4 linked regions of the Schizosaccharomyces pombe genome follow. The gene in region 4 interacts genetically with the main gene of each other region. Each region holds a gene or a part of one and is shown on either strand. Other genes may lie near its edges.

Evidence for each region.
Region 1: mutations in ada1 (region 4) and plb3 together harm fitness more than expected from each alone (negative genetic interaction), as found in Schizosaccharomyces pombe (one large-scale study listed by BioGRID).
Region 2: mutations in ada1 (region 4) and tif308 together harm fitness more than expected from each alone (negative genetic interaction), as found in Schizosaccharomyces pombe (one large-scale study listed by BioGRID).
Region 3: mutations in ada1 (region 4) and vps5 together harm fitness more than expected from each alone (negative genetic interaction), as found in Schizosaccharomyces pombe (one large-scale study listed by BioGRID).

What each region holds. Positions count from the first base shown.
Region 1 is NC_003424.3:1,068,364-1,076,460, reverse strand, and holds plb3 (lysophospholipase Plb3), read left to right. Parts: upstream 1-4,098; 5' UTR 4,099-4,333; coding exon 4,334-6,322; 3' UTR 6,323-6,538; downstream 6,539-8,097. Other genes in the region: plb1 (lysophospholipase 1), read left to right, coding at 1-1,684; SPOM_SPAC1A6.11 (uncharacterized protein), read right to left, coding at 2,607-2,927; wdr55 (WD repeat-containing protein), read right to left, coding at 6,645-7,730; transcription coactivator Rqt4, read left to right, coding at 8,009-8,097.
Region 2 is NC_003424.3:985,619-992,621, forward strand, and holds tif308 (translation initiation factor eIF3h (p40)), read left to right. Parts: upstream 1-2,742; 5' UTR 2,743-2,778; coding exon 2,779-2,804; intron 2,805-2,843; coding exon 2,844-2,950; intron 2,951-3,041; exon of another isoform or gene 3,042-3,129; coding exon 3,130-4,070; 3' UTR 4,071-4,248; downstream 4,249-7,003. Other genes in the region: cytoplasmic poly(A) polymerase Cid13, read right to left, coding at 1-1,129; mitotic and meiotic (sporulation) septin Spn2, read left to right, coding at 4,632-4,671, 4,721-4,795, 4,854-4,982, 5,094-5,175, 5,238-5,907; DNA-binding transcription factor Moc3, read right to left, coding at 6,134-7,003.
Region 3 is NC_003421.2:698,813-706,765, forward strand, and holds vps5 (retromer complex subunit Vps5), read left to right. Parts: upstream 1-3,784; 5' UTR 3,785-3,794; coding exon 3,795-5,525; 3' UTR 5,526-6,006; downstream 6,007-7,953. Other genes in the region: protein mug123, read left to right, coding at 226-933; TATA-binding protein-associated factor TAF6, read right to left, coding at 1,353-2,579, 2,738-2,869; xks1 (xylulose kinase), read right to left, coding at 6,161-6,364, 6,416-6,910, 6,996-7,953. UniProt on the Schizosaccharomyces pombe protein: Required for efficient sporulation target of PtdIns(3)P in vesicle transport required for onset of the forespore membrane formation. Plays a role in vesicular protein sorting.
Region 4 is NC_003423.3:376,855-385,744, reverse strand, and holds ada1 (adenosine deaminase Ada1), read right to left. Parts: upstream 5,446-8,890; 5' UTR 5,356-5,445; coding exon 5,185-5,355; exon of another isoform or gene 5,122-5,184; coding exon 2,797-5,121; 3' UTR 2,445-2,796; downstream 1-2,444. Other genes in the region: chaperonin-containing T-complex delta subunit Cct4, read right to left, coding at 1-1,424; tim11 (F0-ATPase subunit E), read left to right, coding at 1,785-1,805, 1,871-2,042, 2,133-2,218; SPOM_SPBC106.03 (steroid dehydrogenase), read right to left, coding at 6,045-7,118. UniProt on the Schizosaccharomyces pombe protein: AMP deaminase plays a critical role in energy metabolism.

The sequences.
Region 1 (8,097 bases), on a different chromosome or scaffold from region 4:
TGTGGACTGTCCCTCTGATAACATTGTCGAGAGTCTCTCCAGCAATGAGATTCCTAGCGCCGAGTCTGAATACTTGAGCACTCGTTCTACTATTACCAACACTGCCATGAAGGACTTCCTTCGTAACGCCAACTTGCCTGGTTTGAATGCCGATACTCTTTCTGGCTCTGAAGGTCCTTCTATCGGTATTGCCTTGTCCGGTGGTGGTTTACGTGCCATGATTTTGGGTTCTGGTGCCCTCTCTGCCATGGATGCTCGTCACGACAACCACACTGTTTTGACTGGTCTCCTTCAAGCCTCTGACTATCTCGTTGGTACTGATGGTAGTGCCTGGACTGTTGGTGGCATTGCTCTCAACAATTTCAGTACCATTAACGACTTTAGCAAACTTTGGGCTTTCAACCACCCTTTGATGTATCCCAAGAGTGCTATTGTTTTCAACGCTCATTTCTACAGTTCTATTATGAATGAAGTTGCCGAAAAGGCCAATGCTGGCTTTAACATCAGTCTTTCCGATTACTGGGGACGTGTGATTTCTCGTACCCTTGGTGACACTACTTATGGTTTCCCTAATGTCTCTTTGTCTAGTATTACTTCCCAAGAATGGTACCGCAATGCCAACTTCCCTTACCCCATCATTACCTTTGCTACCCAAAACTATGGTGAGGATATTAGCAATGTTAACACTACTTTCTTTGAAGCTTCCCCCAACGTTTTCGGTACCTTTGACCATGGAATCAACTCCTTTATTCCTACCGAATACTTGGGTACTACCTTAAACAATGGTGCTAGCAGCAATGGTTCTTGCGTTATCAACTATGACAACTTTGGTTTCATGATGGGTGCTTCTTCTACTTACTTCAACAAGATAATGCGTAACTTCAATGACTCTTCTACCAAGAACGGTCGTATCATCCAACAATACTTGAAAGGTAACTTTTCTGAAAACGGTCAACAAATCATCTCCATTCCCAACCCCTTCCAAGGTGTTGAGAGTGCTAATTCTGATGCTGCCAACAACTTGGGTTCCAGCTCTTCCCTTAACTTAGTTGATACCTTCCTTACTGGTGAGAAGATTCCTTTGTGGCCTTTGTTGCAAAAGGGTCGTGATGTCGATGTTATCGTTGCCGTTGACAATGGTGATGACAGTGAATGGCTCTGGCCCAACGGTAACTCTCTTGTCCAAACTTATGAGCGTGTCGTTGCTGCCCAAGCTGCCGGAAACACCAATGTTAAGGGTTTCCCCTACGTTCCTAGCCAACAATCCTTTGTCAGTCTTCACTTCAACGATCGCCCTGTCTTCTTTGGTTGTGATGGTCGTAACACCACTGCTGGTAACCACACTGTTACCCGTGACACTCCTCCTTTGGTTATCTATCTTCCCAACGTTCCTTACAACTACTTCACTAACATTTCCACTGATCGCACCTACTACACTGAAGACATGATTCAACAACTTCTTACCAACGGCCTTATTTCCTCTACCGTTGACAATGACACCTACTTTGGTCAATGTTTTGCCTGTGCCGTTGTTAAGCGTACTTTGGAGCGTAACAACATCACTGCTAGCCCCGAGTGCCAACAATGCTACTATAACTACTGCTGGAGCGGTCTTTATGATGACAGCGCTGCTAATGATGATATTGTCTACAATCCTACTTGCCGTCTTGGTGAAGGCATTTAAGGAAAGGCGCATGCAAACTTTTCTCTCTTCAGTATTTATACGACATATCTGTTGCTCACAAGCAAAAGATAGAGGGCAATGCTTATGCCTGGAAAAAAGTTTTTAAAAAAAATCTATACAATGTCTGCTGTCTTAGCATAAATCAAACCTAGCCATATATGTGAATCAATCCAATTACGCGATATGGGTTTTTGTTAACGGATTATTAAACTGAACGTTCACTCCGCTCTAATTAGGGAGACTATTTTGTTATCTTCCGAAAGTATTTTATTCTAATTTACCCTCTCTTCGGAATGTTTTTTGTTCATTTTCTATTGTGAGCTTTCGTTTGCTGTAATTCAGTTTTGTTGACGGCTCCAAATTGGACGTGTTCTAGTTGTTTATGAGAGTTGCTGTTATATATAGTTGCGAAAATAAGTCATTTTTTTAATTCTTGGTTGTAATAAGAATGTTGTTTGTCTATATAAATAAGTTGACTGTAATTTTTTTGTTTTGTTTGATTCAAAAAATTATTATTTATATGTATATATTTTGTATGATAAAATTTGATTTTTAAAGGTTTGCTATACTTGAACAAGGAATAGTGAACTTTAACATACAGCCTATAATTCATTAATTAGGATGAGGAAGGAGATGTAGAAATGAAAAAATTTAGTTAACGTAAAACAGATTATACGATCATTTACAAATTATATCAACTGTACGCAATTTAATCAATGAAGTAGTGGGGATGTAGATGAGACAGTATAGAATACATCACAACGAGTAATGGGAGAAAAAAATTGTAGTAGTTGCGCGGGTTTTGCTCGGCCTCGGGCTTTACTTTCTAATCCGATGACTGTGAGTTACGTGTTTTGCAAAATTATTTAGCAAGTGTGCATTTTATGCTTTAAGTCTAAACGAAATGGGATCCGAGTTAACTTTAAGTTGAGGCTTTGCTTTTGATATAGGTATGCGCATGCGATTTACAAAAATCTAATCGAACAGAAGTAAGTATGTGTGTATGATAATAACATTTTGATAAATAAAGAAAACTGGCTAAACATATATTATGTAGAATTGAAAGAGCATAATTACAAGAAGAAAGACACTTGAAGATATGTTGTGATGTCATTAGATGTAGCGACTTTACAAACATGAAACTATGAGGAAAAAAAGAGTTACTGAGAGAGATTGATGATATTTTATATACACCATGACTCCAAAGATTGAAGGAAGTTAATAAATAAACATTGTGATTCATATTTTAATCAATTATGTAAAATGCGGCCAGTTGTAATGTAATGCGACTAATTTGATGCCAGTAATGTGTGTTAAATAATAGTCAAGGACAATCTGCAAGTTCCTTAGAAAGGTCCGGTTTCGAAGAGGCACACTTAATATCCGAGGGCGGCGCAGTTGAAATAACCAGCCCGGTTGAACGCTACATTCTCCTATACTTAACCTGCAAATGTTTCCGTCGTTAAGGATTTTAGATATATAGCTTAGCAACATTCATCCCAATGTGAACTTTAAAGCAGTCATAGTTGACCAGAAGATGAGCAACAAATTCAACGTAAAGGCTTGCGTCTCAGCGACTGCTCAAAATATAGATTTACACAACAACTTTACATATTAAGCGATATTTAAAGGACCGACAGTCTCGGTCTCTTTTCGCATAGAACGGAAGGGCATTTACATCATGGGGATGTAAATGGACCTTTTTTGATCTACAAAATGGGAATCTAAAAAATCTGTCAAAGATAGACATATGTGTCTCTGCTTACATATATATACATATATATATAGGCTGAATCACTTTCAACTTGCCTTTTCCCAATATTAAAATTATCGCACAAGTCGCTACTTTAGCTACTACTAACTTTTAGGGTAAGAAAGTGTAAGGGGGGATTTGCTTGGAGACTAGGCATGAGCTTGTATTTAATTGGAATAAAAGAAAAAGAATAGGAATTCATGAATTTGTTGAATGAAATTGCAAAACTGCAAGTCATTTGTATGAAACATAAAGCAGATGAATCCCAGGTTTTCGGTTACGATGCGACGTTTGCCGATGAACAGAAATGGTAAATGGTTTCGCATTTGATTCCGCAATACCGCAAACAGAAAATTTTATAAACCATGGAATTGTCAAGCGTTTCGCCAAATTCAAGAGCAAAATCCAGTGTTTATCTTAACATTGAGACGCTATGCTTTTTAATAAAAATCAATAACTTTGGATACTAACTTGTCATTTATTTAGACACAAATTACAATAATCAGATCCTCATATACCGGAGCAGAAATAACAGCACGGTAAGCAGATACAGTGATACAGTAAGAGCTGCGTTGGAATACGGGTGAATTTCAGCTATAAGGAGTTTTAAAATTTTTACGTAGTAGGGCGCTTTTGGTTTAATTTGTTTCACCATCCGTTTACAAATATTCCGTTGTTGTGTTGTTTTCGTTCACAAGAAAATTGTTTGAGGGTATAGTCAATTTTCTAAACTTTTGTGGGTCTAGAGAGACAGTCGTTGATTCCATCGTTTGTTTTGAGCGCGTTTTTGTAACGGCCTTCTAATCTCTGAGTTCAAGCAAAGCGGTGTGTAGATTTTGGCATAATTTCCCAAATTTATTGACCTAAAGACGGTTTAACTATAAAAAAAAAAGACAATGTTATTTAATTGTTTTGGAATACTCGCTCTGCTCCAGATCCTGCCGGCCTTGGCGTACCCGCCTTGTCGCGAGCAAATGTCGGATCCGTATGAGTTTGGGGAATCTGACTTAATGAGACCGGGCATGCATGACACGCCTCTTTCATTAATGCAAAAACGAGAGGCTTTGGCGATTTCGCTTTCCAAGCGCGACAGTGTTGGATCATACGCGCCTTATAATGTAACTTGTCCTAGTGACTATATGCTACGACCTGCTTCTGACGGAATAAGTTCAGGCGAGCAAAGTTTCATTGATAAACGTATCCCCAAAATCAATACACAAATGAGGTCCTTTATTTCCAACACTGGTTTGGACGTAGATGTAAACTCTGTGATTAATGATTCAGATGGCCCTCGTTTAGGACTTGCATTTTCTGGCGGTGGACTCCGCGCTATGGTCCACGGAGGAGGTGTTTTAAATGCTTTCGATTCTCGAAATGGCAATGGTTCTTCACTTGCTGGAATTCTTCAATCCGCCATGTATATCGCTGGTCTTTCTGGTGGTTCATGGCTGGTCGGTTCCGTAGCTGTTAATAACTTTGCCAATATTACTTATCTACGTGACAACGTTTGGAATTTGGAACATAGTGTCTTTGCTCCTCATGGTGACAATGTTGTCGAAAATCTTGCTTATTATGACGACCTGGATGATGAGATTGATCAAAAGAAAGATGCAGGATTCGATACTTCTTTGACCGATCTTTGGGGACGCGCTTTATCTCGTAAGCTTGTCGATGCTACCCAAGGTGGTCCAAATATCACATTTTCTAGCATTAGAAACCAAACTTGGTTCCAAAATGCCGACTATCCTTATCCCATCATTATATCTGACAGTCGTTTGGAAGAGGAAAAAGCTATCCCTGCCAACACCAGTATATTCGAATTTACTCCATACGAGTTTGGTACTTGGGACAATGGTATTAAAGCTTTTCTCCCTATGGAATACGTCGGTACCCATTTAAAGAATGGTGTTCCACCAGACCATAAGTGCATTCGTAACTATGATAATGCCGGTTTTGTTATGGGTACTTCAGCTACATTGTTCAACACGTTTCTGTTAGAATGGAGTCAGGAAGTAACGTCAAATAGTACTCTCTATGATATTATTCATAAAGTATTTGAAAAACTTTCTGAGGATCAAAATGACATCGCTCCTTACCCCAATCCTTATCAGAATTTCACGACTACAAACACCACCGTCAAAAACCCTTTTGAGCGATTCGATACTATTGATTTAGTAGATGGTGGTGAAGACGATGAGAACATTCCTATTTGGCCTTTGTTACATCCTCAAAGATTTGTTGACGTTATATTTGCTGTTGACGCAACTTATGATGATTCTAATGGTTGGCCTGATGGCTCTTCTATTGTTACTACATATGAAAGGATTATAACTTATAACGCCAATAAAAGTGTTGATGTTCGAGGTTTCCCGTATATCCCTGATGAGGACACAATCATTTCCTTGGGACTGAACACTCATCCAACATTCTTTGGATGTGACGGCAGAAACACTACTGCAGGTAATCATACCGTAGATAACAATACACCTCCTCTTCTTGTTTATTTCCCCAATTATCCTTGGGTTTACTATTCCAATATTTCCACGTTTACCATGTCTATGAATGACACTTTGTCCAGTGGCATTCTTGAAAATGCTGCTCTATCGGCTACTCAAAACAACAGCGATTCATTTGCAGTCTGTTTGGCATGCGCCATGATACAACGTTCCTTGGAGCGCAAAAATATGTCTACTCCTAGTCAATGCTCTTCTTGTTTTGAACAATACTGCTGGAATGGAACAACCGTGAACAACCCTAGTGCCGTTTCAAACTATGCTCCTACTGTGTTATCTGCATCAACCACTTCTGGTACCTCTTCTGTACGAGCCAAACCTATAGTATTTTATTTATTTGCTTCGCTTCTAACAGTTTCGTTACTATTATAGACGACGAAAGCCTCCCCCACTCACACACCTTGGTATGAGTCACTTTTCGACTTGAAAGAATTAAAAAGCATAGACTGAGTCAGGCTTTTATTTATTAATTGTAAGGTATTAATCACTACCAAACTTGTGGGGTTCAAAGGTTTTGTAGTTTTAGTGTTAGTGTTAGTGAATTCATTTTAAGTTTTCGAAGCACAATGTTTCTTTTCTCTAATGAAGATGTTTAGTTTAGTTAATTTAGGAAGATCGCTTTTATTTTTAAATATACAGACAATTAATTTTAATAATGATTGTGCAATTTTATAGATATCAAAGCTGTTTTGAATTATAAACCGTCAAAAAAGTCAGTTCCTAAAGGCTTTTTCCCTTGATTTCCCACCTTTTTCTTTTTCTTAGGACTCGAGAATTCAGAGTCGCTGCTGGAATCTTCATCACTATCTAAATTATCAGAGGAGGATGACTCATCTCCTTCCTTCTGATCAACCGGCCAGAAAGCTAGTTCGGTTCCACTACAGGAAACTAAAAAATTGCCTTCGGTAGTAACATCCACAGCGTCTACGGTTGATCGCGAAGAGTGTTGCCCTATAATTCTTTCGTATTTGTTTGGAAGAATGTGTAACAAACGTATACATCCGTCGCTTCCGCCAACATACAGACTGTCAGAATCAGCACGAGTTATTGTTTCTATTGAAAAATCATGGGACCGAATTGGCGATAAAATGCGATCGGTATGATCCCCCCAATCACCCTTTGTAAATAAAGTTATAACTCCACTGGCAGTACCAACAGCAAATTTCTTTTTTGAATGCTGATCCCGTGTAAAAGCTCCACAGGTCATTTCTTCGTCTTGTTCTTCACTCAATATTGGTTTTTTGAAATTACGAGCATCGATTACTGACAAAACTCCATCACCACTAGTAGCAACGAAGTATCGTTCTTCAAATGGGCTAATAGAAGATATATAGTCAATATGATCATTATGGGTATGGATAATGCCTCCCTCGGTGCGCTTATCCCAAACAGAAACACAACCATTATCATCACCTGTAGCAAAGACCATATCATTCTCAATCCATTGAACCACACTATAAGGAGAAATCTCCTTATTCTTATCCACTATCCATTTTGAACTCACTCTCCCCGTTGAGGTATCGGCGATTTTTAAAACACCATCTGAACCTACAGAAATGAATTCGGTACCTGATTCATTTACTGAAATATTTCTGCAGCTTTTTTTATGTCTTTTGGTACTCCATTGCTCGACCAAACTTATTTGTGCGACATCATATTGATAGCTACTAACTCTGCCGTTTGAAAAACCCAGTAACACTTGATTTTCACCGAAACAAGCTAAGTCGAATATTTCATTTTCAAATTTTTGTTTTATAGCAGCATTTATTGTTCCACCCATTAGGTTGTTTAGGACAAGTAGGCTGTGATTAGAGCTGGGCAATCCACCTCTCAGCACCCATTGCCCTGTAGCAAATTTGCATACCCTAGAATCGCGAATACTATTACACTACCAACTTGATATTGTTTTGGAAAATTTACATAAAGCATATAAAATTTTATTTGTACGAACTTCTTGAACTCATTTAAATAATTCAATAGTATTTTTTACTTGGGGATTCTTTATTCAAAGACTTTATTCGAAATCGTTAAACTACGAATTCTTTTAGAAAGTTAGACATGGAAAAATGGACGAAGGAGAACGTACTGAAAATTTTGCCAGTCGACGATGAGAGTGCCGCAATGATAACAAGCACTGCTTTAGCAGT
Region 2 (7,003 bases), on a different chromosome or scaffold from region 4:
TGTCAGTTAGAGAGGGAAAAGTAAATTGCGAACAAGCATCGTCGACATTGCAATTATACGCTAAAAGACGGAAAACACGTCGAAATTCCAATTGTATTCCTTTCATGGTAATCTCATCTGCAGTATTAGCTAGATTTCGAGATGTATGGAAAGGCTCTTCAACACACAGAAAATTGTTAAGCTGAAATTGCCATCCTTTTGCTCGTTTCGAAAGAAAGGTACCGTGTCTAATGGATAAAACAAAATGCTCGTAATCAAATAAATAACCAAAAAATCGAAAAAACTCTACGAACAGGATACCAAGAGACTCCTCGTTTTTGTCACCAAAACCATGAACAAGATCTGGATCGTCGAAAAACGACACATCCAGCCCGTCAGTCATAGTAGACGAATCTTGTAAATGAGGAAGCATTTGCAAGCTGGGAAGAATCGGTGGATCGCGCTTTTGTAAAAAGTTTATAACCATACAGCTTATGGTGTAAGAAGTGAGTGTACCGCCCTCGGCAGCGTCATTCAAGCATCGTCTTTTTGCCCAATATTTAATCATAACAATCAAGGGCCGAACTCGGGGATCACAAAGAACGTAAGAGCGCATCAAACGCGTGTTTAAGGTAGATATAGTTTTATTGATATTGCAATCGCATGATAGTTGTAATTCTGAGTCCCAAACCTTTACAATTGGCACTTTAGCTGTTGAAATGCAAACGACCTTTTTAAGTCCGTTCCTAGCAAAGGCAGCTGACACCTCGCAGGTCGTTGGAGCACATTGAGGCGGATCAGTAATGATACACAAATCAATGTCTGATGCATTGCTGGCAAGAAGAGATTGGGTTGACCCAAAAAGGGAGGTTTTGATATTTTTATAGGGGAATTCTTTTTTCAATATTTGTTCGAGTTTCTGCACAAATGCATATCGACGTTCTAAACCCGAGTCGTTCAGTATAATAGAGTCATACAACTCGTACAGTTGAGAAGAAATTAGATCAGTATCAATATCAACTAAATTCTTTAATGATAGAGGATGTACTGGCGGAAGTGGATCCGCACCGAGGCTATAAGGAATACGCCTTCTATATTGAAAGCTGCGAGTTTCAAATTTGCAACCGCCAACGCAATTAGCGTTGTCCATAGTATTAAGAGGGTAAGAAGCTTCTAAGGTTTAATAAGTTGCAAATTCTCTATGGATTCCGACGTTATCCTACCTTGTCAGCTAGTAAAGGCGTGAGTTCTTTGTAATATGATCAGCTTTGATCTGAAACGATCCAGCAAGAACAGTTCAAATGTACGAGCCCTATCGACAAGAAAAGACAATTTAGAAGTACTTCTAAGTTTCAAGATCGTATTGATGAATTAATATGAAGTTGGTAATGTTTGTAGCTATTCTTAGGAAGAGGTGTGGGATAAAAGAACCGCCTAACAGCAATACGTACGTACATAGGTATCAGCTTTCCTACACAAGGAACAAGTACGGCATCAACATAGGATCGGTAAATAAGTAACAAATGAATATACAACGCCGTTATAAAGTAACCTTAATATATTCACGTAAGACACCTTTAAAGCAACGTTCAGCTAATGATATTTTTACAATCTTCAACTGAAAACAATAAACAAAGTAATCATCAAAGAAAAAACGCAAACAATGACGTTGGCATGACAACGAGCATAATTGACACCTTTCTTGACGTTTTGACGTTAAATAGCGTGATTCCGTAATCTGCGTTATTCTATAAACAAACTAGCAATACATAAACATACATGATCAATGTTGCTCCCACAAAGCATGGACTTGACTTTCCAATTGAGTGGAAACGTTCGTGTAATACTTTACTACTAACGAATGTACAGCAGACAATATTAAATAAAAAACGCCGCCAAGTAAGCTATCCATCTAACTCCAAATACCATACAATTGACTCCTTTAATAAGAAACATAAATCAAACAATCTAACGGAATTTGAAATCGTTTCATTTATTCACTAAAATCTACGCTAAAACATGACACAACTTCATCTAGAAATTACATCTATGTCATCAAACGACACCACAGTTGTAATATAATAGATGAAATTAAACACGTCAGAAAACACCAGCTGCCCTACATAATACGACCAAAAGGAAACATATCATGTAAGAGATCATCGCATAGAAAGACAGCAAAACAATTAGGTAAAAAACCTAATCGAAAAGCATGCCTTCAAAGAATTAAAAGTCCTCACTCTGAGGGCAACGGTGCCTCCTATCATCATCCGTGTTGAGTTCTGTGGCTAGGTTAGGAAACCCAAGCCGGACGTATACTATAGAAATGATCCTATGGAGTATCGTCGATAGTGTTTTGTTGAGGATAATGACCCGTATATATAGTAAATATAACGGAAAAGCAGTCACATTCATTTCCAATCAACGAATAATGTTGAACTTTCAAGTATAATGCAGTGTCAATTACACTATATTAAAAAGACTTTGCAAGGCGGTGAAGCTGCTCTTAAATTACAATAAGCATGAAAATCATATTTCGGTAAATTAGTAAAAGAAGTCATGAAAATAGAGCTTAAGGCCGAGAAAACAAAAAAAAAATTTACAAATTTTTTAACTAGTTAGAAAAGGTTTAATAAAACTGGTAGGCTCCTCTATTCTATAACTTGTAATCGCCGACAGCCATGGCTTTAAAAAGTTGCTACTTGTTGTTACTTGTCATTAAACTGGTGAACACTAACTCCTTTAGAAGTTCGTACAGCAATTTGCACTTCAACCAACTACTTGGCAGACTTAAAAAACATGTCTGATACAACTTCATTGAATGTGTAAGAATGACTAAGATATATAAATAACTAATTCAGTAGTCCAGAATTGGAGTCTCCCCCTATTGAGCGGGTGGAATTAGAATCTTTACTTGTAATGAATATCATCAAGCACTGCCGTGATTCTTTTCCTAATATGGGAACAATTGGTAAGTGTAGTCATTGGAGAATAAGTTTTCCCTATTTTTCGAAATGATAAAACTTGCAATTTTTCTGCATCAAAGATGCAGCTATGCATTTGTCAGCTCAGTAATGCTCTACTTAGTGAAATTTCTTATCAACCACAGTTTCTCTCTTGAAATAATATTTTTAACTAACTTTCGTTCAGGTCAGCTTGTTGGTATTGACATTGATGGTGTTTTACAAGTCAGTAGCAGCTTCGAGTCTCCGTCTGTTCTTGAAAATGAAGAGTCTGCTGTTAACAAGTCTGTTTCCGGTAAAGCACGCCAAGCTCATACTGAGGCGATGCTTAATCGTCTTCAGTACATTGGTGCTGTTACTGGTCACGTTGGTTGGTATTTGGGAGCCTATGTTAGTTCATTCTTAAGTAGCCCCTTTTTTGTAGAAACGCAATATGCTTATCAAAAGGCAAACCCCAACAGTATCGCTTTTCTTTATGATTTGTCTCAATCTTCTAATGGAACTTTGTACATGCGTGCTTATCAGTTAACTCCAGAGTTTATGGCTGCCCATGAGGAAAAAACTTGGACCGCCTCCTCCCTCAATAGCCACAACTTGACTCCTTCCAATGTTATCCGTGAACTTCCTATTGTTATTCACAACTCTCATTTGGCTACCTGTTTGCTCCACTCTCTTAGTGAGCCTCCTACTCCAGCTTCTACCCTAACCGCCGAAGCTGCTCTTGAAGATTGTGAAAGCAACTTACCCTTGACTGAAACGTTCAGTAACTTTGAGGTTAGTTTGGGTACCAGATATAGAAAGAATATTGAGTTATTATTGGAGTCTACTGATGAGTTTCATTATGAGCAAGGAAATCTTGGATTTCATCAACGTCAACTCGCAAGAGAGCAAGCTAAAATTCAACAGTGGATTGCTAAGCGTAAGGCCGAAAATGCAAATCGTGCTGCCGAAAATTTACAACCTTTACCTTTAGACGATTGGAAGCGAATCTTCAAGCTCCCTGCGGAGCCTCGACTTCTTGACTCTCTATTGATTAGCTCTCAAATTATGAAGTCTACTCAAATAGATGAACAAAGTTCTGCTTTCTTGTCTAAGCTTGCCGGTGTACGAAACGCTTATGCTTCTTAAGCTACTGATTGGTAATAATCGCTTAAATTTAGCGCTAATTATTTGTGAATCTGGTTGAAAATTTTTAAGGACTTTGATCTCTGTGAAGCGGTTGCATGTATTTGTTTATAAAAAATGGAGCATTCTTCTTCACTCTCACTAGTTATACCTCGTAGCATTAAAATAAAAGGATCTACTTAATTATAAAAGTTGTTTTGGTTTTCTTGATACAGCATATTGGTTTGTTGAAATACAATGTGCAAAAATATACCATGATTGTAATTATAAGAAACAGTTTAATCTTCAATAGTGCATTCAGTTGCTGGTAATCTACTTGTTTATCGTATTCGAGTTTTAGGTTACATTGCTAATTTAATATATTTTCGGGCCCTTATACAACATCGAAACACTTTTCTATTAATAAAATATATTGTTAAATTTTGTTTTCTCTCTGTTAGATTATTTAAAAAAAAAATCGTAAATATTGCCGAGACCTTTTTGTTTGTTTTGACTTGCTTCACGTTACAATGTTGACTTGGCCAAAACCAACAAATTCCAAATTCATTCAATTCGCAACTTGCAATGGAAGTTCCTTCTGCAGTTACCCTAAATAATTATGTGGGTATGAAAACAAAAGAATGTTGATAAAGAGTCAAAACTAATGTTTATAGGGTTCGATTCTATCACTTCGCAAATTAACCGCAAGTTAATTCGTCGTGGTTTTCAATTTAATGTAATGGTGGTTGGTACGTATTATTTTTATTACAGATTTTCAATTATAATGATGTTAACAGTTTCAAATAGGACCGTCAGGTAGCGGAAAAAGCACTTTGATTAATACTTTATTCTCTGCGCACTTGATGGACAGTAAGGGTCGTCTGGATTACCAAGCTCCTTATCGCCAGACAACTGAAATCCATGTTACAAGCCAAGGTATGTTGATTTTTTTATAGTTAGGTTTTCATCTTTGATTGAACTCATTGAGCTGGCTTCAATGAGTCAGCAATCCTTATATTTATTATGGTTACATTGCTAACCACATAGTCGTTCGCGAGAACCGTGTTCAATTACAATTAAATTTAATCGACACTCCTGGATATGGAGATCAAATTAATAACGATAAATGGTAAGTTTGATCAGTGGAAATGGAAATTTCTATTCCTGCACAGCAATTTCTAACTATAATAGCTGGGAGCCTATAATTAAGTACATTAGGGACCAACACTCTTCCTATCTTCGTCGTGAATTAAATTCACATCGCGAGAAACGTCTACAAGACACAAGAGTACATTGTTGTTTATTCTTTATTCGCCCAACTGGACATTCTTTGCGCCCTATTGATATTGCTGTCCTCAAACGCTTAACAGAAGTCGTAAATGTTGTGCCTGTTATCGCTAAGTCTGATTCATTGACTCTTGAAGAAAGAGCAGCATTTAAGCAGCAAATCCGTGAAGAATTTGTTAAACACGACATCAATTTGTATCCTTATGATTCTGATGACGCCGATGAGGAGGAAATTAATCTAAATGCTGCCGTCCGAAATCTTATTCCTTTTGCCGTGGTCGGTTCCGAAAAAGCCATTATCGTAGATGGAAGGCCTATTCGTGGTCGTCAAAACAGATGGGGGGTTGTCAATGTGGATGATGAAAACCACTGCGAGTTTGTTTTTCTTCGTAACTTTTTGATGCGAACTCATCTTCAAGATTTAATTGAAACGACCTCATACTATCATTACGAGAAATTCCGCTTTAAGCAATTGAGCAGCTTAAAAGAACAGTCTTCCCTCGCAACTAGAATGGGAAGTCCCGCACCTGTGTACCCTTCTGAACCACATCTCCATACAGCCACCGCTCAATAGTCTTCTTCCTAAGGTAATATATAGTATGTTTAGAACAAAGACTAAACCATTTGTATGACTGTCGTACCGTAATTCGTAAATTTCGGCTCTTTTTACACTATGCGAATCTTACAAATGAAGTGTTTATCTTATTAACGAGAGATTATATGTTTGATGCGTGATTTTGTCTAGCTATTATACAGTTCTATATCAATATTTATTGAAAAGCATCAAAATGATTTTAAAATTAAAGTACTGGTCGATTTAAGACATTGCAATCCATAAAATGTTCTAGCATCAATCTTCCGAAATGAGATTCGATTTGTGCCCGAAGTTTAAATTCTTTAGAGTTTGATGCAAAAACATTTTGTAGAGATAATACGCATAAATAGGAAGTGCGTAATACTGCAATATCTGTGCATTCTTCTTGCATTAATTGCTGTAAGCCAGAAAGAACGTCATTATTGTTTTTGGTAACGGCATGTCCTACACAATCTATAACTTTAGTAAGAGGACTTCTTGATGCTGAATACAAGTGCACATGATATTCATCTCGCCAAGCAACCATTCGTTCTCGATGCAAATCATCAGACAAGGTTGGTTGAGAGAGAATGTCCAATCCAATAGTAAACAAAGAATCCGAAACAGGTGCATGACTTCGAGAAACAGAAACTTCCGATAAAGGCTTTCCATTAAACCCCCAGATACACCCACGAGGAAGAATTGCAAAAACTAGTTCACGAACGACCATAGCAATCAATAAGCTGACATAATTTGATTTGGTAGACGAAGACCAACTTAACTTTCTAATAAAATTATTACAAAAATTGAGATCATAGGCTGGGAGATTGAGCTGAGTGAGAGTCAAAAATGCAGAAACCAACAGGTATTCAAAAGAATTGGGACCAGGCATTGGACAGCGAAGAGCTCTGGTCAAATGACTGTAAGCACCAAAAACGTCGAGCTTCTTAATAGACGCAAAAGCCATTAAAGAATTAGCAATACAAGGCATCGATTGAGCAAACTGGGGAACAGTGACTGACCAAAAATGCAAGGCTATGTTATTATCAAATTCAAATGCACAAATAGAAGGTACGACATCGTGAAAATAAAACGG
Region 3 (7,953 bases), on a different chromosome or scaffold from region 4:
CGAAACATTAATTCTTGCGCTTTTCAAAGATATATGAGCTTTGTTTAATTAGTTTTAGCTGATTGCTTAATCAAATAAAAGATTGTCTATCTTAACACCATTCGTTTTCTAATCCCGGCATTTGTCTGTGAAATTTTTAAAAATTAATTGGAATTACTCTACAAGCAACTTATTCAAAGAAGGAATAAATAGATAATAATCATTACTAGACAGAAGACTAATCGCATGGAACGTTTAGCTACTCGATCGAGCCATGATGATCCATATTCGAGGTCTTCCCTTCCAACTTCGAATGCCATTAATAGCAACCATGAGTCAAATGGTTCTACTTTTTCTTACGTACAGAGTTTACGCCGTGCAAAGGCGACTGTCTGGAGTGATATAGGCCGTGTGGCTCCTTTACACTCTAGCCCATCAATCAAAAGTTCATCACAAAATGGGAAGTCTTCCAGCAAAGGCTTAGGAGGCATGCGCTCAAGGGTATTTTCTAGCCAGCATCATGGTGTTTATCACACCCGTCCTGCTTCGCTTCATTCACGTACAATGGCTCCTCAGCACACCATTCTTACTCCACGATTATCTGCTACCGAAGGTAAGGATGACGATGAGGACGAATTGGTAATTTCGACATCGAATACTGCACCAACATATATCTCAATGATTGAGTCTTCACGTGCCAGCTCAACCCATAGTGGGACTGCACCTTCCATTATGGGAATGTCAATACATTCAAGAGCAGACTCCAGAGCCGAAACTACTCAATCAGACGGCTTTGAATCTCGTAGCGGATCACCTACTCATGATATTCAATCTTATCTTGTCAATCGACGAAGCAGCAGTTCTGAATCTTCAGACGAGGACAGTGCTGAAGAAGGAATGAAACGTCTAGTAATCACAAATATGGGGGACAATGATGAATTCGATAGCGATTAGTGCAGTTATTTTTCCATCGATATCTGATAAAGTATTATTATTTATTATGGTGCTATTCCCTCACCTAGTTTAATTGCTTTAATTCGTTTACTTTTATTCGCATTCTTTGGCATAATCAAGCATTCCTTCCCCTTTCTGTTCTATTACGTATTTCTTTCATTTAAAACCCGGCATTGTCAGCTAGTCTCACATCTTTAATCAAAACATGAAATAAACTATATCAATATTATCATCATTCTATTTTTATTCATTTGAAAGCTATTCGGTGCTTCCTGTTTTAATGTAACATGAATATCAATAACATTTTAATTATAGAACCTATAATGGTTTAGGTAGTGTGGAAAATTGGGTAAATATTTTAAAGTCCGAGATTCATAGATTAAATTGTTCAAAAACAAATATTTTATGCCCAACGAAGACTATTCTAGCAGACCAAGAAGCAATGAGGTATCGTTTTCCTTCATTATCTTTTCAGCCATTAAACTGCCAACGTTCTTCTCAAGAAGACCACTAGCATTTGGCGGAAGAGTTCGTTGATTTGGTAATTGATCATCCCGCAGTAATAGCAAAGCGTCGTACAAAGCATCCATACATTTATTGGCCTCGTAAATCTCCTCTTCATTTCCTTTTTCCAAGGTTTTCCGAACTAGGACTTCGTAAACTTTGATATTGGGAACGACGAGGACTCTAATAGCTTCTTTCCCCATAGTTTTTAAGCCTTTGATGGCACCATAATGAGTGGAATATGGCTTGGTGTTATCCAAAAATGCTTTGAGTGCCGTGCGAGTAACGCGAGGCTTTAATGTATAATACACATTACCAAATCGATCACAAACAATCCCGAGTAAAAAAGCAGCTAAGTCTCTTAGTGCATAATGCTCGTGATTATTAGGATCACTGCCAAGGCGCTTCGCGACCAAACAAGTAAGGATGGATGGCATGAGTTGTTGGACGTAAGGCTCTACAAAAAGGTTGGGGTTATCAAGAAGGGCCCAGGCCATGTGCATTAAAGTAGTAAGAACCACAAGATTTCCTAAGTTTCGAGTTACAGAATCCGATAAAAACATTATGAAGTATGGTAAAAGTTGGTGTAATCCGGGGTCGTCACGTAAACTCGATAGGGCAGCATCACGGAGCTCAACATTAGTTTCATCAAGCAATGCACTGGTAATACGCTCAAAATAAAGCTGTAACTCTTTGGATAGCACATGTCGCACCAACGGTTTTATCTCAACGTTGTCCATCGAAGTGACACCGTTTCGAGCTTCTTTAGCAGCAGTTGAAGCACCTGGCATAACCCCTGAAGTACCCTTGGATGCCCATTCTCCAACTGTGTGATCTGAGGGAGTTGGATTTTGAGGAATGGCTGGCTGCACACCTTCGATGGCCAGCCAGTGTGCACTGTAAGAAATGTTTCTAGGGACTTTAGGGAGAGGAGCGTTTATGATTTTTTCAAAATCCACTTCCTCATCATCAAGGTAGTAAAGGGAATTTTGGCCTGCACCTACAGCGGCTTCATGAAATTCTAATGGACGAGAATTATTGAAGCCGTATAACGGCTCAACATTCAACGTCCGTAACGCTGAAGAGATATCTGCGCTAGTTAAAACAGTTCTTTTAGAATGAACCATAAACTTAGTGGCTTCCTAAATCAAATACTGTTAGAGAATTATGTTTAATGTCAGAATAAAGCAGACTATCTAGCAAATTGAAAGGCATCGTAAAAAACTAGCAACAATTTTTTAGTTATTTTAGCCTCTTCCAAAGAAAGTAAAATCTCATAGTCTACTTTCACGAAACCTACCTGAACCACCTGATGAATTCTATATTCGAGATCCATTGCAATAGCTGCTGCTGGTTCATCGGCAAGATTGCCAATCCCAAGCATTTCAGCAACATCTTTGATGGATTCAATATTCCATACTGTCAAGGACATGACTTGGTAGTAAGATGAACGATTTATGGATCAATGAGTGAATTGCATCTGCAGAGAAGTAGTTAACGATGTTAGAAGCAACTGCTTTATTTAACATACTTGTCAGCAATACTACACTACGCTATAATACACTACGTTGCGTATCACTATATGTCACATGTTCTAATTATATATCGTACCATGTATGATACGATATGGAGATTGATCTTAATGATAATCTATTAAGATCTATATTATCTGAATACTATAAATAGAGCTACTGCTGAACCTCGTTCCTCAGTTCAGTTATGAGCTATATTAGTGATAGGTAACATTATAACCCAGTTAATACAATACCTATACTCAGTTGCTACTTATACAACCTGTGTATTGTAATATAATAGATCACAAGGAAAACTCACCGCAGTTCTACGTATCCTTAAATCAGATACCAAACTGCGTAGCTTACAAGACAGTGAGCTACACTAAAATCGCTATTAAACATTACGTTACGCATCAAAATACACTACATGGAATACCAATTAATCTCAATTTGTTGAACAATAGCAGAAGACTATATGTTTGTTTACTAAAACATCCATTGATATTGATATAAAATAGTAGTTAAAATTAGAAGTCTAGATTGAACAGAGCATCATTCTCAGTCCAGTTATTAGCTGTTACAATGATAAATATATTATCACCCACCACTCACAATACTGTATAACGCAATATACTGCTTCTACAAGCTAAATATAATTTAATGTAGCCTTAAAAGGAATTAGAAACTTGAATTGTTGACACTTATCTAGTTGCACCGCAAGTCACCCCGCATTGCTAAACGTATTTAACCATCGTTATTTTTCGCTAGTCGTCGTTGGGCTGCGCATCACCATTTCAGGCACGATTTCAGTGATCAGATCCAAAAACCCAACCGGCCACCATCATGCTTGGGCATAATATATATGAAGAAGACGATGCATTTAATCCATTCGCAGATTCCGTTTCTCCACTGAACCCTCCAAAAACCGACCAAGAGCCCTCAGCTGAAGGAGTGGAAGAAGAGTCGCCGAATGTTCAAGCTTCTCCACCAAAAACTCATATCTATACATCTCCTAGGAAACGAAGCGTCAATTTGAAATCTCTTCCGTTTGAAACGTTAACTTTGGATTCTGCACCTTTAGGTCCCTTGCAATTTTCTGATGCACCTTCTATGGCACCCGAAAACAACCGTTTGGAAGTTGGTTTAAATACAAAAATTAATCCGTTAAAAGGATCTAGTCCCGCTTTGAATGCAGATTTTTCTGCAAATAAGCCTTGGATCTCAGAAGTGAACTCCTTTTCCCCTTCTCCTATCGGAGCAACGGAAAATCCCACTATACCAAATTCAGAACAGACGGTAGATACTTTAGACGCTGCCTCATCTTCTGCTCCAAATTTTACACACACTGTCTCATCTGCCTCCTCCCAGAAGCAAGGTTCAACCTCATTAACAGATACGGAGAATCAGAAGGCGCACCCGGCAGCGGCACCTCAATCTCTTACCCCGTTTTACATCCAAGTTCATGACCCTCATACCGTTAAGGAAATCACTAAATCGCATACCGTATATTCGGTTTCCACTCGTTTAGAGGAACACAATCAACCTTCTGTTAGCAATGTGACTGTACAAAGACGATATAATGATTTTGCTTTTCTTTATCAATTGCTTTCTAATAATCATCCGGGTTGTATCATTCCTCCCATCCCGGAAAAGCAGGTTGTAGGCCGTTTTGATGATGAATTTATTGAACAGCGACGAGCAGCCTTGGAGGTAATGCTTCGCAAAATATCTGCCCATCCGGTTCTACGTGATGATTACTCATTTAAGTTGTTTCTTGAAGCAGAGACATTTGACCCTAGAATGACACATCGTACTACTCTCATTGAGAGTTCATCAAGTCCTTTGCGCTCAGGTCCCTCAACATCTGGTTTACTTGACTCATTCACCTCCGCCTTCCATACCTCTGGATCTTCTAAATTTTCCGAACAGGATCCAATTTTAATTGAAGCAAAGGATACACTTGATTCGTTGGAAACTCAACTAAAGTCGGTTTATCACGCGCTTCTTTTATCCATAGATCAACGCATACAGTTCGCTTCAGCCATCCATGATTTTGGCGAGGCTGTTGGAAATTTATCTTTAGTTGATTTAGAGCCCACCTTATCATCCAAGTTTGATGGTCTTTCCCAACTCCAGGTAGAGCTTCGATTTGTACAAGAACGTAAGGTTGCTCAAGACAATTTGACACTGGGCACTACATTGGAGGAGTACATTCGGTACGTGGAGAGTGCCAAAAATGCCTTTACTACACGTCAAAAGTTGTGGCAGACATGGCAATCTTCAGTTCAAGCTGTTTCTCGTGCTAAAACTCAACTTGAGAAATGTAAAAAGCAAGCGAAATCTCAGCAAAAATCACTCCCTTACTTGGAAGAACAATACGAAAAATATCGAGCAAAAGCTGCTGATCTGGAAAAAGAGTTTTCGGAATCAACAACTCTGTTAAAACGAGATTTGAGTTCTCTCACAACCAGTAGAGTTGATGATCTCAAAGCTAGTGTTGAAACGTGGTTGGAATCTGCAATTGAATCTCAAAAAGAAATTATTGAGCGTTGGGAATCATTTTTGGATCAATAACGACTCTAATTTTCCCTATGCACTCTTTTAATTTTTATGTTTTTCTTTCGTGTAATATTTCTATCCCATATTCGTATTAATGTATTTCCAACTACCGCTTTATTACTTTGCACTTCTCTAGCTGACGATTTCTATTCTATTCTAATTATTTTTTTGCAATTTCCCTTTTCGTCCATGGTACTTCATTACTTGAAAAGAAAATGTACCTTAAAATATTGCATTCTATCTACTAACCTTACAGCAACCCTACACTCCTTTGTAAATAAATAACTTGTGTATGTTTTTAAAAATTGTCTTTGTTACTCAAGCCTTTTTATATTTGTTTATGTTTAAACGCTTTTTCCTGCTTAAATTGTGTTACTTATATGTAAAAGCGTATGCAAAAATTTGTTTAATAATATGGTGTATGACTACTTTATGTTACATATTTATTTGTCTTAATTTAGACTCGTGATTCAAAGCTCTCAAAACGATAGCTCAAAAAAATGTTCATGTAGGAAACGTTTATCATTTTGTATCCTAAGGTTTATTCATATTTTTTAAAAAAAAAAGTGGATTTCGCTTTCATTAATAATCTCGTTATATCAATAGCTAATCACATAATCAAGTGCGAAATGGAAAAGCATTTAATCAATTCAATGCCGGATATCTGACTGTTGAATCGCAATGTCTTCAGCCTTTTTGAGGAAAGGTAAAAGCTTTCCATATTCTTCATAAGTTTGGGCGGATGGTTTATTCATGATTAGTTCAATTTTCTTGGACTCATCCCAAGATTTGTTTACATATTCTTCAAAGGTAAATCCTTTTCCATTCATTGCATATGCAGCCTTGATAGCGCCCTAAATTGATGGTCAGTAACTATTAATTAACAACATTTTCCGTTCACTTACGCCAACAGCACAGGCATTACTACCGCCGTGTTTTAGCCGATAAACATCACATCCCAAAACCTGGCTAATTTTAAACACAATAGCCTCGTTACGACTAGCTCCTCCTACAACATAAACACGATCAGGTTGTGGTATACCAGTTAGCAAAGGAGTAATCCGCATGCGGATATCAAGATTTTGACTTTCAACTATGGCAGAAGCATCCTCATCTGGATAATCCCATGATTCTTCATCTTTATCCACCTGATACAACTCGGTGCCTTGGATTGCAAATCTCCACGTACCCGGTCCAACTGCGGGTAAAATCTCCCTTTGTGGATAAAAAAGACCGAGCTGTTTCTTTTCACCAGCACCTTTAATGTTGGGGTTCAAAATCGATTCATTAAAGCGGTCCCAACTGGTATTGTCCGAAACATTATATTTTTCATTGATTGTGTTTCTTACCTGTTCCCGCGCTAAGCTACCGTTTTTATAGCATAACATTACCATATAATGCTAAAGTCCATGTTAGTTAGAAAACCAGAGAAAATGATGAGTTTTGAACAACTACTTCACCAAAAGAAAGTCAAGTTCAACTTACGTTCTGCGTAACAGGATGAGCAAACATGTGATACTCTGGAGAACACACATAGTTTTGAGTAGCCATTAGAGCAGTAGTACTAGTACCCAATGATAATAGTACATCTTTTCCCGGTCTTAAAGGAAGGGATAAAATAGTGGCAGGGTTATCTCCAGTTAAAGGAATGATTTGACAGTTAGGAGAAAACCCATACTTCTTAACGAAATACTTCCCAATTGGTCCTAGATGTTTTGCCCCGTTAATCTCAACCGTACCTAGTTTGTTAGCCAAGTCGGGTCCTTTAGAATTACCAGCAACTTCTTCCAACAAGCGAATATCGAATTTCTCATTCTGAATGTCCCAGAGATTCATTCCACAAACGTCACTGATGTCTAAAGGTGCCTCGGTTTGCAGAAGTACCGAGGCTAGAAAATTAGAGACAAGTGCAATTCGTTCGGTATTTTCGTATGTCTCGGGGTGCAAACGACGAAAACGCTTGATTTGGGGTCCAGTAAAGCGTAGGTGAGCTTTAGACCCAGTAAGGTCCGCTAGTGCTTTGGCTCCACCAATGCAAGATTCAAGCTCCTCGCATTCTTTGGTAGTACTGGCATCTTGCCAATTTGGAGATGTTGGATGAATGAGACTTTCCAATTGTTGTTTTAAAGAAGATTTGGCATCCAACGAATTGAGGGCTTTTTTACTTCCCTTAAGCAGGAAAACGCTTGCATGTTGCTGACCGGCACCAGATATAGCTTGTATTTTGCTAACATCCACAGAAGCCTTAAGTCTCTCAAACAGTAAATCGATGGCGTCTAGCCACATACATACTGGAGCAAAAACCTCATATCCATTCCTGTAGACCCCTTTGATAGTGTTGTAATCACTTAGATCCCGATCAAAATCGACGGCAACCTCTTGATGCACGTTCAAAGACTCATCAATGACCACGCCCTTGAGCTGCTGAGTTGAGAGATCCAAA
Region 4 (8,890 bases):
CCGTTAGCATGACGACTACGCAACTCAGTAACAACCTGAATAGCATTCAATCCTGCATTCTCAGCTAGTGTAACAGGAATGATTTCTAAAGCTTCCGAAAATGCACGGATACAAATGGCCTCACGTCCTTCAAGCTGACGTGCATGCTCCAAAAGACGCTGAGCGGCCTCAATTTCGGGAGAACCGCCACCTGCAATCAAAGCACGCTGCTTGACAAGACAGCGGATAACGCAAAGAGCATCGTGAAGAGAGCGTTCTGCCTCTTCTAAAGTCAACAGATTAGCACCTCGGCATAATATGGAGACTGTTTTTCCAGCATTCTTAACACCACTAAACTTTACGATTTTTTCACCAGAAGAAGATGTCTCTTCTACTAAATCCGCATGTCCTAGTTTATCCTCTGCAAAGGATTCAATATCAGCAATAGGTTTGCATCCAGTAGATTTACAAATGAATTCCACCTCATCACGCTCAATGTCTTTAATTACCATAATTTTGAGTTTGGCCAAAAAGTGTAAAGCAAGATCATTAACAGCATCCCGGAGAATTGACTTTTGTATGAGAATAACATTGGCACCTGCCTTTTTTATTTTTTTGCACATATTCAAAAGATACTGACGTTCTTCCTTAAGAATCTTATCCATCTGTCTGTAATCATTGACTACTACTTGATTTTCCATATCGGGTTTGGGAGGAGATAATTGAAATTGAATAAGCGCAATGTTAGCCTTTTCAATCCTTGTGGGACCGCCAGCGCTCTTGACTGCCGTTTGTGTCAAAGCCAATCCGGGAATTAACTCGGTATCGTCAATAATACCACCTAATTTTTTAACAATACGAATATCCTTCAGATCCACATTTGTCGCAACACGAGGGTCAATGACCTTTAATACGGCATCTACAGCAATTGGAGCTAAAAGGTTACTGTATTGTGAAACAATTTTGGAATTTAGAGATGTGGTTGCTGCCCTTAAGAGTGATTCACGATCAGACAGCTCAATGGCCAAAGCATTCTCTTTCATGCAATCAACAGTAAAACCTGCTGCTCTTTGAAAAGATTCCGCGATAACTGTTGGGTGAATTCCCTTTTTTAAAAGCTTCTCAGCGCATGCGAGCATGGATCCTGCTAAGATAACTACACTGGTCGTACCATCACCAGCTTCAACGTCTTGTGCGGCACTTAAGTCGACCAGCATCTTCGCAGCGGGATGAAGGACGGACAAGTGCTTCAAAATAGTTGCACCATCATTTGTTAGAATAACTTCACCTTTTCCTGTTTGAATCATTTTGTCCATTCCCTTCGGTCCCAAACTAGTTCGAATCGCATCGGCGACTGAGCGAGCCGCCATAATATTTGAAAGCCGAACCTCTTGAGGCTTTTCTCGGTCTTGAAATGCCACGGGAACCGTTGCTGCTTTCGACATTGTGTTTGGTGAAGGAGAGCAACTCTACTTCGTTTGCTTTACCTTGGGACTTCTTCGTGCACTGTAAACTACTGTACTCGAAGTTTTGTTATTGTATACAATTTAATGTGTCGTAACGTGTTAATGCTATCTTTGTTTTCGAAATGGATCAAGCACTGGTAGCAGCTTCAATACCGCGGAGTAATTAAGAATACGGTAAAGCGTTTGCTGAAATATTTTAAAAAAACCTTTATTAGAATGTTAAACTAATACTAAACGTTGCACTATTCGTGTTAAGTGTTTAGAGTTCGATTGTGCTCGGATGCAAAATGAACTTGAACACTCCCCACTCTTTTACAAAAGTGATATAACGCTCTAAAAATGAATTCCATAAACGTAAAGGTATCCTCTAATGAATTAGTTTCACGAAATATCCATGTGTATTTTTAACCATCTCTAACGAATAGACATTACGCTGGTCAGCCCTCGTCCTTGGCTTAGGTGCTGGAATGTACGAGCATAGGAGTCATATTCAATGTCAAAAGCAGAAGGAGATTGATGAGAACTATCACCGACAAGAATCCTTGATTGAATCTGCCAAAATTGCATATCTCAATACTAAAAACACTCCTCCTAAAGGTTAGTTTCTTTGCATCTCAACGAGTTTAACGAACTTTGGCGGGTGCAATAGTACTCATTTTTTTTTCGCTTTACTAATACTCAATTTAGAAGACTCTATGTTGCCTAATTTGAAGAAAGATTCAGAAGATTTCGATATGGATGAATTTGTCAAAGAACTTGAAAAAAATGTTTAAATTCATCCTCTTGAACCACGAATGGGTAACCCTTATCACACTACAAATCGATATACTAAACTAGTTTGTTTATTTTTGTGTGCACTTTTGGTGCGATTAGTATTTGCTGATTGTCCGCGTCAACTGATTAATCAATTTAACGTTTTGCTTAAGTTATTACTAAATTCGAATTGTAACATGGTAACTTATCTTACTTTACTCACTTTATTATAATGAAGATGATCCACATGATTTGTTTTTTTGAGAATTAATTCTCTATAAGTATTCCATTAAATAGACTTGTAAGCTTTTTTCATACCATTTTAGTTCACATGGATATCATTATCTATTTAAATATGTATAGTAAACATTCATTCCAAAAAAAAAAAAAGACAGGAAAGAAAAGGAGGTAATATATATGTTATATATATTTTTATGGGTTATTTAACATAACAAGAACAAATATCGTTCTAAAACAGAATGCACAATTATCAAAGGTATCAAAGGTATATTGCCTTCCCCAAATGTTTCAATACATCAAAGTTGCATGAAAAAAAAAGCAAAAGTAAAATAAACGAAAGCGGTTCATAATAGAAACCTTAATCTTTCAAATCTTGGCTACTGCTAGCCATGCTATCCTTACGTCGACGACGCTCTGAAATCACACTTAGTCCAGGGAAAAAGGCACCATGGTCATGACCATCATGAAGAGACAATCTACTGCTTATTGTAGCGTCGTTCGTACGAGGAGAAGCCGACAAAGGGTCGCTAGTACCAGTCATAGCATCATATTTATGGATCAATTCCTCCAAATCATGGTTTGAAGGGTGCTTGGATGGTTGGACATGCTTGTTCACTAACGCAATTTCTTGTGTCAAAGTCAAAGCACGATAAGCCAGGCGAATTATAGGTACATTAGTACGATCAATATCCTGAAAATCAACACCCAACCAACGTTCTTTAAGCTGACGTTCGAAACCGGATTGTAAAACACTGTTTCTAGCCAATTCGCACATATCGACAGCAGAGAGCTTATAAATTTGTGCGGCTACAGCATATTCCTCAATCAGAGGCTCTCGGGTAAATGCAAATTGTAAAGGATCATCAGTGGAAAGACTAACATTAAGACCTCGTTTGAAGTACGTCAAAAATGGATTCTTATCATATGCAAGAAACAGTGCATTGTTTGATAATGGAGACATTGCGATAGGGATCTGATCAAGGTACCAAAGATACTGAAGAAAAGGAACTTTTCGTAATAAAATACCATGGTTAATACCGTGACTTAATAAGAAAGCACTGGCCAAATGATCCGTATCTCCAGCTTCACCACAATGAGGACGAAGGACAAAGGTGTTAAAACCACGTATTTTTCTCCAGCTATTCAAGCTAGTCATGTTGGCATACATGTAATATAACCAATAACTATATGGAGGATTTAAATTAATATCCCAATGTTTCGGATAAGGGAATTTGCGAAAGGTACGGCGTTCAGGTTTACTTTCGTCGTCAACAGAGTCAAACCCGATAACACGTTGCAAAAACACGTGGAGTTTAGGATGTGTACGAGGATCCTTTGTAACTTCGAACAGTGGTTCAAAGACATTTCTGACGACCTCTTCAAAAGTCTCAACAATACCGGACTTCTTATACACATCATACAAACGAGGTACTTGAATAAGCCAACGAACGTTGGGAGAAAAAAGTTCGTTATCAATAATCCAGGCTGCAAGCTTATCCCATTCTTCACGATTCCGTCCATAGATAGAAATACGATATTCAGCCATTTGGTACTTTTGAGTTCTAAGGTCGGTGAACACCTCTTTGGTAAGTTCAGCAAGATATCGACCGTTAATATCATTATCGGTTTTCAGGAAAATAGTACGCAAACGAGATTCACCAATTGGATTATATTTCAAGTTAAATTTGTCAAATCGGTGAAAGGTGTCAGTATGAGCATGCATATCCAACGTGTCTATACTAAGGTCATACGAAGTCAACTTCAACGAATCAAATACTTCTTGTAAAGTCAGGAATTTGCCATCACGCCAGATAACTTTTTCATTAGGGCATTTACGAAGTTTAGCTTTGATAAATCGCAAGAGATGTTTTTGATTCGCAAGAGCAGAATGATGGACGTGAGTATCTACCTTACGTACATTGTAAAAATCACGATGGGGTACTTTTTTGGTATCTGCCAGCTCTTGATACTCGTTTAGCAGCATATACATATTCCAGCGTCCTTCTAGATACTGCAATCTACGGAAGGAAAATGATTTACTAGGACCATCCGATGAAGCCGAAAGAAGGAATTCTAAATCTATATAATAATCGCGGATAGTAGGAATATGAAAAGACGGTGTCCCCGCAATGTATGCGCTGTCATTCTCATAAACTTGAAATATACCTTGATGATCCATGTGATATTCCATTTCATTTTCAATTCCAGGAATTTTGCAATCAGCAAAATTAAACAAGCCCGTATCATCTTCACCTTCTTTGCAATCAGGGTATATAATCCATGAATCATCGTCAATGGGATTGTCAAGCTCACCCTGTAAGCTCACCCTAATATATTTGTGTCGCATGTCCATACATTTATGGATTGACAAATAAATTTCTGCCAATTCATCAGAGAAAAGAGGGTCAGTCGTTTCCATGTTTCCTGGATCGGTTTCAGGGCCACCAACACTAGAAACTACAGCATTGTCTCCCTGCTGCACATGGGGCATATGAATGCTACTTATTTTGCTTTGAAGCGTATCATTCAAAAGCTTTCCACTTCCAGGACCAGCTTTACTATGGTTTACATCATCACTATTCCTTACTGTGCTAGCCGAGACTGATGGTCGTCTTGGGCTTTTAGAGGGCAGTCCATCCCGACCGTTTTGTGTTCCATTCATAGCCAGAAATTTAGCATCTTGCTAGGTTATGGTTAGTTAAACACGTAATATATCGAATTGGGGGGTTTTCACTTAAATACTTACATGTCTTAAAGAGCGCTCATAAGCATAATCAAAATAAGGAGTGTCTTGAGACGAAGGCGCTGCTGCAACTTCTTCGTCTCGATTAGCACCAGGATTCGTTACATATCGTTTTAAAGGAACAGTTTCAGCTGCAACAGCTGGGACTTGATCATCTTCTTGTTCCATGTTCATTTCAGCTCTAAAAATTAGAATAAAAAAGAATCCCAAAAATTGGCCTCTTCAAGAAGAATGCGACGAAAACAACACCTTTTTGAGAGGAGCGCGTGCACTTGCGGGTGAAGAGCCGTTTATATACGGAAGTAAACCACATAGTGAGAGAGGACGTACAGACATTATGTTGTTTAACGAAATAGAGCGATGATTTATTGAGGCAAACAAAATTAAGGGCAATTGAAATGTTTAGAATTCTGGCCAAACTGAATTTGTTTAAATCGAATGATTTTTAATATTTTCATTCAATAAATTAAAGAGAAAATTGACACTCATTTTACGAGTAACTTTTGTTTTTACGGTTTCAGTAGCGATCAATATACATCCTATCTTTTGTATCACTTGCACATTTAAGTAGACAATACAATTTGAAATCGAAATTGTAGCAATAGTACGAACGGTAAAATAACCTATAAACCATTTTACTTAAGTTCGCTCTGAGGAAAAGAGCTTAACAGTTACTAGATTTCGCTTTACACCTCGAGCGTAAAAAAAATAGAAACAAAAATAATTGAAAAAACTCAAGCAAAAGATATGGATATCAATGACATCTTTTCATAGCATCATTATCATTATACCAAACCATGATAGACATGGGATGAGTTCAATTTGACAAGGAAACAGAGAGAACTGAGGCTCCATACAAGTATTTAGCTGCGCTTAATAAGACTGCAGGAAAAGAAGTGAAATTTTCCAAACAAGGAGAAAATCCCATCAATAACACACGTAGGAAGGAACCGTGATACTGTGACCATGAAAAAGGTGCGACAACCAACATGGCGAGTTGGAGAGGGCCAGCAACCAAGCAAGGAGTCAAAAATTTTGTTTAGAACCTTACGTTCCGTACACAACGAAGGAGGATAATTGCTTTTACCTGGAGAGCTAGAATGATCGTAATTCAAAAAGCTGAGATTTCCAAGTTTGATACAAATAACCTGTAAGCCCGTTTCACGCTTGAGAGTGCGCAAGAAAGTTTCAATGGAAGAAGAAAGAATAGATGGAACAGCATAATTGGGAGGCTCATAAGCGGATAATATACCATGAGACAAGCCAATGATTCTGGCCTTTTGACTTTTCAAAAGAGGAATCATTCGAGAAACGTTAGAGAAAGATTCACTGAGTTGTTGAAAAGCACTGATCCAAGCATCTTTTCCAATGTTCTCAATTGGAGTGTACAAAGAATCTCCTGTGGGAACGAGAATAAGACCACGTAGGCGCAAAGCATACTCCTTAGGGCCAGATTGATTGGAAAAAGACAAAAGGAAGCGTTCAACAGCCTCATTATGAGTAACAATCAAAGATTGAATGTAAGGGCGTTGTTGGAGAGAAACAGTAGCTGCTTCAGATGCATCGCGAACAAGAACAACGACGATAAAACCACGACGATCCAAATCGTGAGCAATTACTGAGGCGAGAGGGTTCCACGCAGATAAGACAACAACTTGGGTTTTTTGGTGGTTGGGTGCACGTGGAGCACGACGCTTGCGTACATAATCATAGCGTTTGTAATAGGATAATCCAGCAAGGAACAAAGCGGCCGATCCTAAGCCAACTGATACTCTATTTTGATAAAGAAATTCTCCCAATCTTCCCTTGGCACTGTTTGTAGTATGAACTGTAACAGGTTGAGGGTTACTAGTTTTTTCATGAGCATAGTCAATGATTCGCTTGCCGTAATCCTTAACATTAGAGACTAAATCGGCAGCCCAGCGTTCAGGATTCATTTTTTAATGTTATTCTACCTTTTTGATATGATAATTCGTTTTCGTAGCAATTGGATTAGATTTCCAGGCAAAAAAACACTTCAATTTTCTCCCTGATATAATGTTTGAAGAAGGAAACAATGCAGGATGAAATTGAAAAATATTTAGCAATTTCAACAATAAATACTATCACTTGAGGAATTCACAAGTAATACTTCAAAAAGCTAAAGAATTCTAAAACTTGGAATTAATGAAGTGGTGAGTGGTGGTTGAGAACAGGTCGCGAATATTGGAAAACACCATGATGTCGTGCTAACTTGATCCTAAATCGCAATTCTATTTTATGGCAGTAAAGATGATTCAAATCGAATGCAAGTTTTAATATTGAAAGTTTATCGAAGTTAATCTCACATCAGGCTAATAGGAAGCTATGTTGCTAAAAACATATTGTAAGTAAATGATAGTATCTGTTCATAAAAGGTTTGATGTTTTGCGGGAATTGAGCGATGGCATTATAAAAAAATGAGGATTAATGGCTTTAGAGATTGACTAATGGGAAGGATAAAGGATACCAAGGATATGAGAGAACGGATGGATGATTAGTATTTATTATGAAATTCGCGTTTTCATTGTAGATGAGAAGTCCGATTGAAGTATTGACCTTACTTCTCTAAAGCATGTACATATGAAAGGATCATTGTGATCTGTTTGCTCAAAAAACTTTAAGAATTGTATTAAAACCTTGCTACTCTTTAAAAGTTTTTATGTGTACCATAGTTCTTGTAATTGTCTCAACAATTGTAAAAAAAAGAACAGCCTTTCATTTGTCGCTCAGTCCTTCTTTAAATTGAAATGTTATTCCTTACATTACCTAACATTTTTAAAGTGTTAAAATAATCTAATATTCAATTTGCTACATTGCCTTCAAATCTTATGATATAAAACGTTGGCCAAGAATCAATTTGGCCTCAGCAAATATAGCAGCCGAACTTATACAAACAAAATAATATACTATGGTTTCTTAATCCTGACTTAAGGATGGATTTTCTTAAAATTTAAGGATTTCAGATGCAATCTTTAAAATTCCACTTTTGTTGACGACTAACGGTTCAAGCCTACATTCTACCAATGAATTTCTTCTTAACCAAAATTTGCACTCTTCAACTAGCTAATGCTTCTTTCACCATTCGAAAACAATACTCATATTGTTTTAATGATCTTGTGTCGGTTATCTCTGTCACATTTTAGAAAGCGTTTTCAGAAAGTGAACCTTTTGTTTACACATTTTTGAATGTACTCGTGCATTTACAGTTCTCCGTCGACTCCAAGTTATTTATACCTAAGTATTTGTGCTTGAAATTCTATTTAGGTAGCATCATTCTACACTTTGACATCTTTGCAATAGTGTTTTATTGCCATCTACATTTAATGAATAAGCTACTCCAACTACCTTACTAAGAACACAAACCCAGACCTCGTAACGTAACCACGTTGCTTTGTCCTAGTCGGTTTAACGTGTTTCGCTAACATGCTGACAAATTTTTACATAAGATTTTAAGTATCGATTCATCTTTGATAATGATGTCATATTTGTAAATTATTATATACATACCGGGATAAGATAGGTTGTGGGGCAGATCATTAGTACAACAGGAAACGATATCAGATCAAGGAGTAAATATACTCGATATCAATATCCACTTTTCCATTCTTATTAACTTGCCTTTTTTTATAATTTTCTGTTCTATTTATAAAAATTTCTGTTCACTTTATCTTTTTTATATTCTTTCTTT